Linked DNA regions of Arabidopsis thaliana. The protein of the gene in region 1 interacts with the protein of each later gene in a pairwise test. Each region holds a gene or a part of one and is shown in the gene's direction. Other genes may lie near its edges.

Region 1 (4,580 bases):
CTTATGAGCAAATTAAAGCTATTAAGTTTTTACTTCTTTTTTTTGTTAAAATGATGGTGGTCTTGACACAAGCACTAGCAAATAAAAAATTGCTTTAACTCCACCCTTTTTTGTTGTCAACCATGCTAAACAAACTGATTTGAATTGAGTCTCAAAAAAAAAAATAGAAGGTTTATCACTAAAAGTAACATAGTTTTATTATTATAGAGAAATACACTAAAATAGCATTAAGCTAAGTTTTTGTTCCAAAAAACCATAAATAGTTTTTTTTTCTTTCCAAAATGCCTCTACAAACGATTTAGTACAAAAATACCACAAAGTCTAAAAATGATTTCTAAAGATTTTAAACCTTCAAAACTAAATCCTAAACCCTAAAATTTAAACACAAAATATTAAATGCAGACCCAAAGTTTAAATTATAGGTGAATTTTAGTTTTGTGGGATTTTCAAAAAAAGTATCTTTTACTGGTACTGTTACGAAAAAAACTGATGGTGTTACTTTTGGAACAAAAAACTTATCTTAGTGGTATTTTTGAGAATTGTCTATTATTATATCTTATTATATAAAGTATGGTTTTCGATTTTAGATTTTGACACATGTAATCTTATTATCAATTTTATTAAATGAGTAAAAATATAAATATAAAAACCAAAGTAAAATATTAATATATCTTATATAAAACAATTTTAAAAAATTGAAAGAAGATAAATATTAGAAAATTATATGTATCTTATCAAACAAAGATAGAAAATATAAGATTACATATTATTTTAAAGAAATAAAAATGTAAAGAAGATAATTATATGTATCTTACTGAAAGAAATTATAAATCAATTACTAATTCTAATTTGAAATTACTAATTCTAAAAGAAAATTGATTACCGTCTTCCTAAAAATTTTAAAAAGGATTTAAGGAAACGATCTTATTATATTAAATATAATACATAAAGGAATTTTACAATTAATTATAATCTTAGAAGGAAAAAGATTTCAAATACTCACCTCTATATAATTAGTAGCCGGATTTTATGCGGTAACTGATACAGAATGTACAGTTTTTGCCACTTCTTCTCGTCTTAAGAGAGAACGACGGCGATCAAACAAACGTCGCCGAAGTTTAGGCGGCGAGTGAGAGTATATGAGTTTATCAAGCAGAGATTTGTAAGTTTTCTTGTTTTTGGGGGAAAAAGATTAGGAATTATAATAACTTTATTTTTTTAATTTATATTTGGAACTATAATATAAAAATCTTATTTACATTTTTAAAACTATTTTGTTTCTTTAATTTATCTTATTTTATATTAAAAATTTTAAAATTTATAATAAAATTACATGTACCAAAATCTAAGATCTACAAAAATAACACATGTAACAGTCATATGAATTACTAAATTTAAAAATCATGCTTTATATAATAAAATATCTTTTATTACTCTAGAACCTCTAATGTAAACAATATTTTCTAATTTGATACTACTAATTAAGATTTTGCATTGACAATATGAAAGAAATTCCGCTATTTGGAAATTAGATCTCATACCTTGGTGTATTTTTTTTTATTTTTTTTTTAACAACACCTTGTTGTAAAAAAAAATACTTTAAACCCTTGTCTATTGGGATTCCACTTGCAATTAATTTTGGAGATTTTTATTTTTACTTGTTTTTTAAATACCAAAAGACAATAGAAAAAGAAAAAAGAAGAAAAGAAGAGTTAAATGCTCTGATGGACCGGCCCAAAATTGACCCAATAGAGTCCAGAAATAGCCCTTTTCACTTCTTAAACCATTCCAAAATACATCTCAAAAACAATCTCTCTGTCCCTCTCTCGTAACCAAAAGCCGTCTCAGAAGAAAACTCAACTGCGAAGAATATGGCGACCGATGATGTGAACGAGCCTCTCCCGGCGGCGGCGGAATTACCGGCGACAGAGGCGGAGAAACAACCACACAAGCTCGAAAGAAAGTGGAGTTTCTGGTTCGATAACCAATCAAAGAAAGGCGCCGCCTGGGGAGCTTCTCTTCGTAAAGCCTATACTTTCGACACCGTCGAAGATTTTTGGGGGTTCGTCTTTCTCTCTTCTCCTTTGATTTCAATATTTGTCAATGCCTTGCTTTGTAACTTCTAAATCTGGGATTTGTATAGAAGCTATGGTTATTGTGAATCTCGATCTATGTGTATGGATCCGAAAATCTAAGGATGTTAATTTTTTGGTTATTGTTAGATTGCACGAGACTATATTTCAGACTAGCAAATTGACAGCGAATGCTGAAATTCACTTGTTCAAAGCTGGTGTTGAGCCAAAGTGGGAAGATCCAGAGTGTGCTAATGGAGGAAAGTGGACTTGGGTTGTTACTGCTAATAGGAAGGAAGCTTTAGACAAAGGCTGGCTTGAAACTGTATTACATTCTAACCCTAACCCTAACCTTTTACTCTTCTGTGTTTTGTTAGATGATATGTGGTTTTGGTGACTGGTTCTATTTCTTATGATATGTAGTTGATGGCTTTGATTGGAGAGCAATTTGATGAAGCAGATGAGATTTGTGGTGTGGTTGCTAGTGTCCGTCCACAGTCGAAGCAAGACAAGCTCTCCTTGTGGACTAGGACGAAGTCTAATGAAGCTGTTCTGGTATGATGTTTGTTTGTCTTCTCACTATGTTTATATTGATGCTGGTGTTGGCTATTCATGATTATGATTGTTGGTGGGATATCCAAATTTAGTTTGGTAAACTTTAGAAAATACTAACACTCGTTACGAGAATTCTTAATGCTACACAGAGAACTATATAGCTAGTGGGTTTTGATGCTTAACTTGCTTTGTTGCCTGTCCTTGAGAGTTTTACCAGCTTCTGATGATTGAGATACTTCTGCAATAGTAAAATTGTTGTTTTTAATGTTAAGGTTATATGTTGCGACTTATAAACATAATAGTAAATATAATAGTTCATTGGCATTATAAACATAACTATCTTTGTCAATGGACATCTGTTTTAAAACTTGGCAATATGTTAAGATTGGTTTATGAATCTATCTGATGAATTTATTACTTGGTGTTTGTTATTGTAATTCAGATGGGTATTGGGAAGAAGTGGAAGGAGATACTTGATGTCACCGACAAGATAACTTTCAATAACCATGTAATTACACTTCTCTAAAGAAGAAGCTATCATCTTTTTGTACATGTTTTAGATCTCATGTGGCTTAATATATCTTTGTCTATACGCAGGATGATTCCAGAAGAAGCCGGTTCACTGTCTGAAGAAACGAGTGTGAAGCCAGAGGAAGATGCAATATGGCTTTTTTTGTGATACTGTTTGGTCGGTTTACTCAAATAGCTGAGACATTTAGGGACATTCACTTTGAGGTGTAAACTCTACAAAGTTTTCTGTTTCATTAAAATGATTTTTTGTTATAAATTAAGTTGAGTTATATAAATCTCTTTCGAAACCACCACTTGTTAGACAAATACAGAGATAATATACTCTTATTAGCAACACCCTAATGCTTCTCTTTTGTATTTTGTTGGATCACATAGTGTTAGTACATGTCTATCGCATTTGTAATTATCACTATATGAATTTACAATCTTACAAGATCTTATTTCTTTGTAGGTAAATTTCAAGAATCTGGTAAAAAATTGATTTAGAGCAGGATTCCACGATTTTCCTTTGTATTAATTGTTTTTGTACTGTGATTTTGAACCTTTTTAATTAATACTGTTGCAGTTAAGCAGTAGTTTAGTCTTTTATTAGTTTTATCCTCTTTTTATATAGCCGTGAGATTATGATTTCTTCTTCAGGAAGAGTCTATACCATTTTGAGTTTATCTTAAAGTTGCTTGAACAAGGAGATATGGTCGATTACAAATTGTGGATCTTCCATCTCCGATTCACAGTTTTTGGGTCCTCTAAAATGGTTCAAAAAACCTTATAACAATTCGTTTTGATTATTTAAATATTCACTTACAAGTTGCTTAAATCTATTTTAGGTTTAGGATGGACTCATATTGAAATTATAAATACAAACAATGTGTCAATTGGCTACTGAACTTTTAAAGCTTAGAGATTTTGGATTAAGGAAAAAAATTTGATTAAGATTTTTAGTATATGTTTATAAATTAATACTCGATACTAAATACATTTCTTCAATTCCAAATCGGCTACCCGAACTGATTAATATATTGTATATTTTTTTAATTAATAAACTATCATAGTCTCATTGTTATTAATTATAAAAAGATATAGCCAAATCAGGAAAGAAACCAACATGTTTAGGATTGAACAAACACGAGTCTGAAATTGGGTTTACAGTTCATTTTGTTGTTAACAAAACTATGAGATTGCAATTTACATCAATGAAAAGTTCTTAAACAAGTTTTGGAAAAACAAATTTCAGATTCATATGGTTTAATTAATCATTTTTTTCTCCAAACTGGATATTAGTGTTTTGTCTTATGTTGGAGTCGTACGGTTCTATTATTGCATTGGTAGATATGTAGTCGTTGTTTAATCTGGTAATTTTAATCAACTTCTCCAAGTCTTCAGTTATGTTCGGAAGCAAGGTCCATCCTCAAAAGAAGGCAA
Region 2 (6,667 bases), 9.6 Mb from region 1:
TTAAATTGACTCTTTGAGGTGTGTCAATTGTCACTGATAGTCTGATTAATCTTTTATTGGCATCTTAGAACAGATTTTGATTCTAAAGTCTTGTGAATCGGCAGCGGAAGAAGAGTGAATTGTTCATCCTTATCTTGCCATGGTAAACATTCTACTTCTTTTGTTCACTTTGATGGGTTTGATTGTTCTTAGTATATTCAATCCTTTGCTTATTTGACGGGAAGTAGAGATGTTTTTGGAATGAGAACATCTTTTCCCTTCTTAATTCCAGCTTCCTGATCACATTTATTACTGTTCTTCTTGGAGTAATAAAAGTTGAGATACTTTTGTCTTGCAATAATTTTGCTTTAATCAATCGAACAAGTTAGATTTTGGCCATATTGGTTGTAGTATTGATTAGTCTTGTGTAATATTGTTTGCAGGCTATGTATATTCGTGTGAAGCGCATGAAAACTACTTACTTTATCCAATGTGATCCAACAGAGACTGTTTTGGATGTTAAGCAAAAACTGTTTGCTCTCATTGAGCAACCAGTTAACAATCAGCGTCTGGTCTTAATGTCTACCGAAGAAGTATTAGAGGATTCGAAATCCTTAGCAGATCAGAAGGTATCACACGTTTGACTATCTAATATATTTATCTTTTGAGTCATTGCTCAAGTTTAAAAGAAGAACTTGGTCACATAGCCACTGCCTCCGTTTGCGTGTATTTGAAAGTTATAAGCTTGTCACCATCTTCTTTTTTGGTTGTTCAGGTTGAGAATGATGCAGTTGTGGCTTTGACTTTGAAGAAAGGTTATACCTTAGATCCTCTTATTCTGAAATTTTCAATTCCTTGTTGAAATGTCGTAATGGATCATGCATCTTGGTTAATTACTTATCACACTTCATCTTTCTATATGTTATTTGGTATATGAACCCTTCAAACTCCATTGACTTCAATTGAGCCTGTTATTGTGAATCTTAGTTATTTTGTTATCACTGGATAATCTTTTGGTATGTTTAAGAGTCTTGCCTAACTTTTGTGACCGTGATATAGCTGAATGTGATTCCTAATCTTATTATTCTTTTAGCCTTGTTTCGATTACACAACTGTTGAGGATGCTGTATTGCATTCTGAATCTATACAGCTATGAACGGCATAATGATTGCATTGCATCTCTTTTTTCCATGTGCAGATGATAACGAGTTTGAGGATGTCAACATTGCACAGCCCACCGACTTCTCACTTTCATGAAGAGTTGCTTACTGTATCAAGGAAACTTCAGGAGAAGGTATTGATTCAAAACACAAGGAGGAGTCTATAAACGCCAGAAGTTGTTTCTTTTGCGTCTCTGCTTGTGTTAACGCCTCTTTAGTTTGTTACAGACAATTGTTGTAAGTAAAGATATTGAGATGTGGAAGTTTGATTGCAACTTGCCAGATTAGTAGTTTTTACAGTCTCTTAATATGTTTACAATGAGCTAGAGGTGCAGCTAACACGAGCCGAGGAAGCTCCATTATTACCATTTGACATTGTTCATTGACGGAAAACCCAATGAGGGTGACAAAATAAAGAGACAAAAAAACAAAATGAAAGGACATAACTGTAATCTTAACGGAAAAAAACGTTAAGGCTATAAGTGTGTCTGGTTCGGGAAAAAGAGAGGAAAAAAACCCTAATAAAGAGAAGGGATTGTGTCTCCTTCTCGACTTCTTCTTCTTCTTCTCATTTCTCAATCTCAACTTTTCTCTTCTCTTCTCTTCTTCGCTAACGGCAGGAGAGAGAGAGACCCAGAAATCCGATCCCTCCTCTCCTTGGATTATCGGAGTCAGCGATTCATCGTCGCTGATAAAGCTTCTACCTTTCTCTTCGATTTTTGTTGTGAGATTCGATTCGATCTTAAGGCGGATTAGATCGAGGTATGCAGCAAGGCGATCAAACGGTTCTGAGCTTGAGACCTGGTGGCGGTCGAGGAAACAGACTATTTGGTTCCTCTTCTTCTTCTTCGTCTCTCTCTTTTGGCTCTCTTTCATCTTCGGATCTACCTCTCCTTCGTCCTCATGGTGGTGCTCCTGCTTCCTCTTTTCCCTTCAAGGTACCCTCATTTCTGGGTCCCCTCTCTAAATTTGGATCTAACTCCCTCTTCTTCCTCTGATTTAGAATTTGTTTTATCTCTCTTGTCTTAGCTTGAGCTAAAAATTTATCCTTTTTTACGGGTTTGTCGCAATCAGCAGCCTTTTTGTTTGGAATTATAATCTTTGGTATATTGCTGATTTGATTCTCTCAAATGTCTGAATTGGCTAATATCTTTCTGATTTGCGAGTTTTAATGCTTTGTGTTTGTAATAACTACTGAGCTCATGTTGGATTTTGATAGGTGTCTGCAACATACATAATTGAACTTCATAGGTTTATATGTCAATACGAGTAATGCAAGCAGTTTGTTTGTCCTGATTCTTAGTGGCGCACGCAAGTATGTGTTTCTGCTGTAAATATGGACGTATAATGATATGTAGGCTTTTAGGTGGGCATTTTGTTAGCTGCTATTTGCTCATAAAGGACCTACTGACATTTCTTCTAGTTTTTCTTTAGTTCATCACTCATTTCGGCCTTATGGTTAAAGAATTATTCCTCTCTTTCTTTTGTACTGAGTACTCGTGGTTCCTTGTCTCCTTTATACGTTATTTCTTATATGATTTTGTGTATTGGGTGTTAGTTAATGAAGATTTATCCTGGGTTGTGCTTTTGTTTCAGGGTGGAGACTCGAGGTTCGATGGCCGTGAACGTGTGAAGTACACCCGTGAGCAGCTCCTGGAGCTTAAAGAGGTGATTATCCCAGTTAAATAATATAGGATTAAAGCCGGTTTAGTTTCTGCTGTTCGTATTTGTTCTTCCTTAGTTGAGGTCATTGACGTCTGTGCATATATACAGACCACTCAACTCTCTGATGAAATTCTGAGAGTCCAACGGGAAACTGCAGCTGAACTGTTTGGTGAGGAAGGGACTTGGGCACGTGGAGAAAGTGTCGTAAGCAATTTGGTATAGTTTTGTTGAAACATAAATTTTGCATTTTGGTATAGTTTCATGAAGTTTCACTTTTAACACATATCTTTTATTTTAATGGTTCAGGTTCCCGTTCAATCCGCAAGTCGCTTCTCTGAGCCAGACTCTCGTGATTGGCGTAGCCGTTCTACTCAACCTCCACCCTCTGGGGAGGAAAGGTCGTGGGATAATCTTCGTGAAGCTAAAGATTCCAGGTATGTTGAAGCAAGTCAATATAATCGTCAAGACCAACCTAATTCCCAGTTTTCAAGGGCAAACATATCATCCAACCAAGGGGTAATTGATCAATAGATGAATGTTTTTCCCTCTTCTTAGCCCTTTACATTCTGGCATGATTTCTTATTTTTCTTACTTATTTGTATATCGTGTGGAACCAGGGTGGACCAGCTCCTGTCCTCGTCAAAGCCGAAGTTCCTTGGTCAGCTAGAAGAGGAAACCTTTCTGAAAATGATCGTGTTCTGAAGACTGTGAAAGGGTAATGCCGTTGTGACAGTTATTAGTTGTCTAGACTTTTGTATAACTTTCCTTTACTGCCAACATGAAATCTTTAAAATAGACTATGCACACTTACAAAGATATACTTTTCTTGTCCAGGATACTGAACAAGCTAACCCCTGAAAAGTATGACCTTCTCAAGGGCCAACTTATTGAATCTGGCATCACATCTGCTGATATCCTGAAGGTGTATGCTATGTCTCAAGCATAGATGAAGTCTTGTTTGAATCATCTAGGCTGTTTGTGTGGCTAACCCGTGTTCTTTTCTTTCATTTGTAGGGTGTGATTACCCTTATTTTTGACAAAGCTGTCCTTGAGCCGACCTTTTGCCCTATGTATGCAAAATTGTGCTCTGATATCAACGACCAGCTGCCCACCTTCCCACCTGCAGAGCCTGGGGATAAGGAGATTACATTTAAGAGGGTTCTACTGAATATCTGTCAAGAGGCATTTGAGGGCGCTTCTCAGTTGAGGGAGGAGCTTAGACAGATGAGTGCTCCAGATCAGGAGGCTGAGCGGAATGACAAAGAAAAATTGTTGAAGCTCAAGACTCTAGGAAATATTCGTTTGATTGGTGAGCTTTTGAAGCAGAAGATGGTCCCAGAAAAGATTGTTCATCACATTGTTCAGGTTAACACCTATAAGCTTACACATTTTCTTAGACTTCTTTTATTTTGGTATCTAGCATTAACCTTTCTTAATTTGTTCTGTGCACAGGAGCTTCTGGGGGCCGATGAGAAAGTTTGTCCAGCCGAGGAAAATGTCGAAGCTATTTGTCATTTCTTCAAAACTATTGGCAAACAACTTGACGGAAACGTGAAGTCAAAACGGATTAATGATGTATATTTCAAACGCCTACAGGCTCTGTCAAAGAATCCTCAGTTGGAACTGCGTCTGAGATTCATGGTTCAGAATATCATCGACATGCGCTCCAATGGCTGGGTTCCAAGGCGGGAAGAGGTATTCTAGGTTTTACAAGGTTGAGACTTGTTTCCTGCTCCATTGTGTAGTGATTCTAATGTTCTATTTACATTACTCGTGCAGATGAAAGCAAGAACTATAACCGAAATACATACTGAGGCAGAGAAGAATCTTGGTCTCCGACCAGGTGCCACTGCAAATATGAGAAGGGGTATGGTTTCTAGTGGTGGGCCTGTGAGCCCTGGCCCTGTCTACCCTGGTGGGCGACCTGGTGCGGGTGGCTTGATGCCTGGTATGCCTGGGACGCGAAGGATGCCTGGGATGCCCGGAGTGGACAATGATAACTGGGAGGTACCCCGGACAAGATCAATGTCTAGACGCGATGGGCCAGGACCTCTACATTCTCCAGCAGTGAGCAAGTCGGCCTCAATGAACACGAGGCTCTTACCTCAAGGCAGCAGTGGCATTATGAGTGGCAAGACAAGCGCACTGTTGCAGGGAAGTGGTTCAGTGTCGCGTCCAGTTACCGTGTCAGCAGAACGGCCAGCACAGTCAGTTGCACCTCTGACCGTACCAGTTCCGGTGGAGAAACCACAGCCTAGTGGTCCCAAGTTGAGCGAAGAAGTGCTCCAAAGAAAAACAAAGTCGCTTCTCGAGGAATATTTCAATGTCCGACTACTTGGTGAAGCTCTGCAGTGTGTAGAGGAGCTTGGTTTGCCGTCATATCACCCAGAGTTTGTGAAGGAAGCAATATCCCTGTCTCTTGAGAAAAGCCCGCCTGTCGTTGAGCCAATTGCTACACTCTTGGAGTATTTGTTATCAAAGAAGGTAGTCGCACCCAAGGATCTTGAAACTGGGTTCTTGCTCTACGGTGCTATGTTGGACGACATTGGAATTGATCTTCCTAAGGCACCAAACAATTTTGGTGAGATTGTGGGAAAGCTGATTCTGGCTGGTGGTGTGGATTTCAAATTGGTTAGAGAAATTATAGGGAAGATGGAAGACGATAGGTTCCAGAAGATGGTGGTCGATGCAGCTGTACGCATTGTGGAGTCAAGCGAGCAGGGGAAGTCCTTGTTGGCCTCACAGGCTGCAGACATAGAGGCTTGTCGGAATCTGTAAAAGGAATCATTACTTGACGATTTTGCTCTCTCTGGGTCTTATGCTTGTGCGATGAATGTTGTGTTGTAAGCTTGAAGGAGGAGGAGAAAAGGATTCTCAGAACTCAAAAATAGTTTTGCTCTTCGTTGAAGCTTTTTCTTATGACATTATTCTCACCACTCTTCTTTGTGGGCATGAGTCCATGTCCTTTTTTGTATTCTTCTGTGACTTGTCTTTTTTTGACCTTTGCATTTTTGTTTTACGGTCTCAGTTATTATATTCAGTTGATTGTTGTTGAGACTTGAGACCCCTATAAACTGGTCGGTTCAGATAATTACATTGGAAATGTTTGATCATCGTCTTCCTATTATTCCTATCTGATTCTGAGCTAACATTAGTTGAGTAAATGATTCATTCGACCTTAAGCTTTATCAAGTTTGATCAATGGGCCTGAGTGGGCTTTGTAAAGCGTCACAAAAACTCTCCCGCGCAGGACAGAGAATCATTAGTTATTATCCTGAAAACTAAAATACTTTTTTTTTTTTTTTTCAATTTTAAACAAAAATGAGTTCAAGCGTAGCTGAAGCAAATCACACAGAGAAGGAAGAGTCGCTGAGACTGGCAATCGCTGTTTCTCTGCTACGATCTAAGTTTCAGAATCATCAATCTTCTTCTTCTACTTCCCGTTGTTATGTTTCTTCTGAATCTGATGCACTTCGCTGGAAGCAGAAGGTGAAACTTCTCGATTTTTTTTTATTTTTTTTTGCATTTGGTTTTAATGGCCTTCTCGTTGCGAACTATCTGATATATATATCTGGTGAAATCTACGAATTCTAGGCTACATTTCGATTTCTGTTCTTCGTTTAGAAATCTAGGTCAGCTCTAATTGTTGCGAGACGGAGGTTCTAACATAGTGAGATTTTCGATTTTGAAATTAGGCTAAAGAGAGGAAGAAAGAGATTATCAGACTCCAGGAAGATCTCAAGGATGCTGAAAGTATTTTTTTCTGCCTCTCTTAACTTTTGCAAAAATTCGTTTCTGTATTTATTGATTCTTAAAATGGAAAGGCTGCAAGATGTTTCTAGAACTGATTGGTCTTTCTATTA

What was found.
Region 2: the proteins of LSP1 (region 1) and eIFiso4G1 interact in a two-hybrid assay, tested with the Arabidopsis thaliana proteins (one large-scale study listed by BioGRID).

What each region holds. Positions count from the first base shown.
Region 1 is NC_003076.8:13,823,623-13,828,202, reverse strand, and holds LSP1 (Eukaryotic initiation factor 4E protein), read left to right. Parts: upstream 1-1,799; 5' UTR 1,800-1,871; coding exon 1,872-2,062; intron 2,063-2,222; coding exon 2,223-2,397; intron 2,398-2,495; coding exon 2,496-2,627; coding exon of another isoform or gene 2,628-2,633; exon of another isoform or gene 2,634-3,069; coding exon 3,070-3,135; intron 3,136-3,224; coding exon 3,225-3,257; 3' UTR 3,258-3,362; exon of another isoform or gene 3,363-3,582; intron 3,583-3,609; 3' UTR 3,610-3,779; downstream 3,780-4,580. UniProt on the Arabidopsis thaliana protein: Recognizes and binds the 7-methylguanosine-containing mRNA cap during an early step in the initiation of protein synthesis and facilitates ribosome binding by inducing the unwinding of the mRNAs secondary structures.
Region 2 is NC_003076.8:23,437,852-23,444,518, forward strand, and holds eIFiso4G1 (MIF4G domain-containing protein / MA3 domain-containing protein), read left to right. Parts: upstream 1-1,648; 5' UTR 1,649-1,903; coding exon 1,904-2,077; intron 2,078-2,449; exon of another isoform or gene 2,450-2,555; intron 2,556-2,735; coding exon 2,736-2,807; intron 2,808-2,912; coding exon 2,913-3,020; intron 3,021-3,110; coding exon 3,111-3,320; intron 3,321-3,421; coding exon 3,422-3,519; intron 3,520-3,638; coding exon 3,639-3,726; intron 3,727-3,818; coding exon 3,819-4,169; intron 4,170-4,256; coding exon 4,257-4,499; intron 4,500-4,583; coding exon 4,584-5,582; 3' UTR 5,583-5,964; downstream 5,965-6,667. Other genes in the region: AT5G57860 (Ubiquitin-like superfamily protein), read left to right, coding at 140-142, 423-608, 755-794, 1,178-1,236; MPS1 (multipolar spindle 1), read left to right, coding at 6,126-6,293, 6,500-6,557.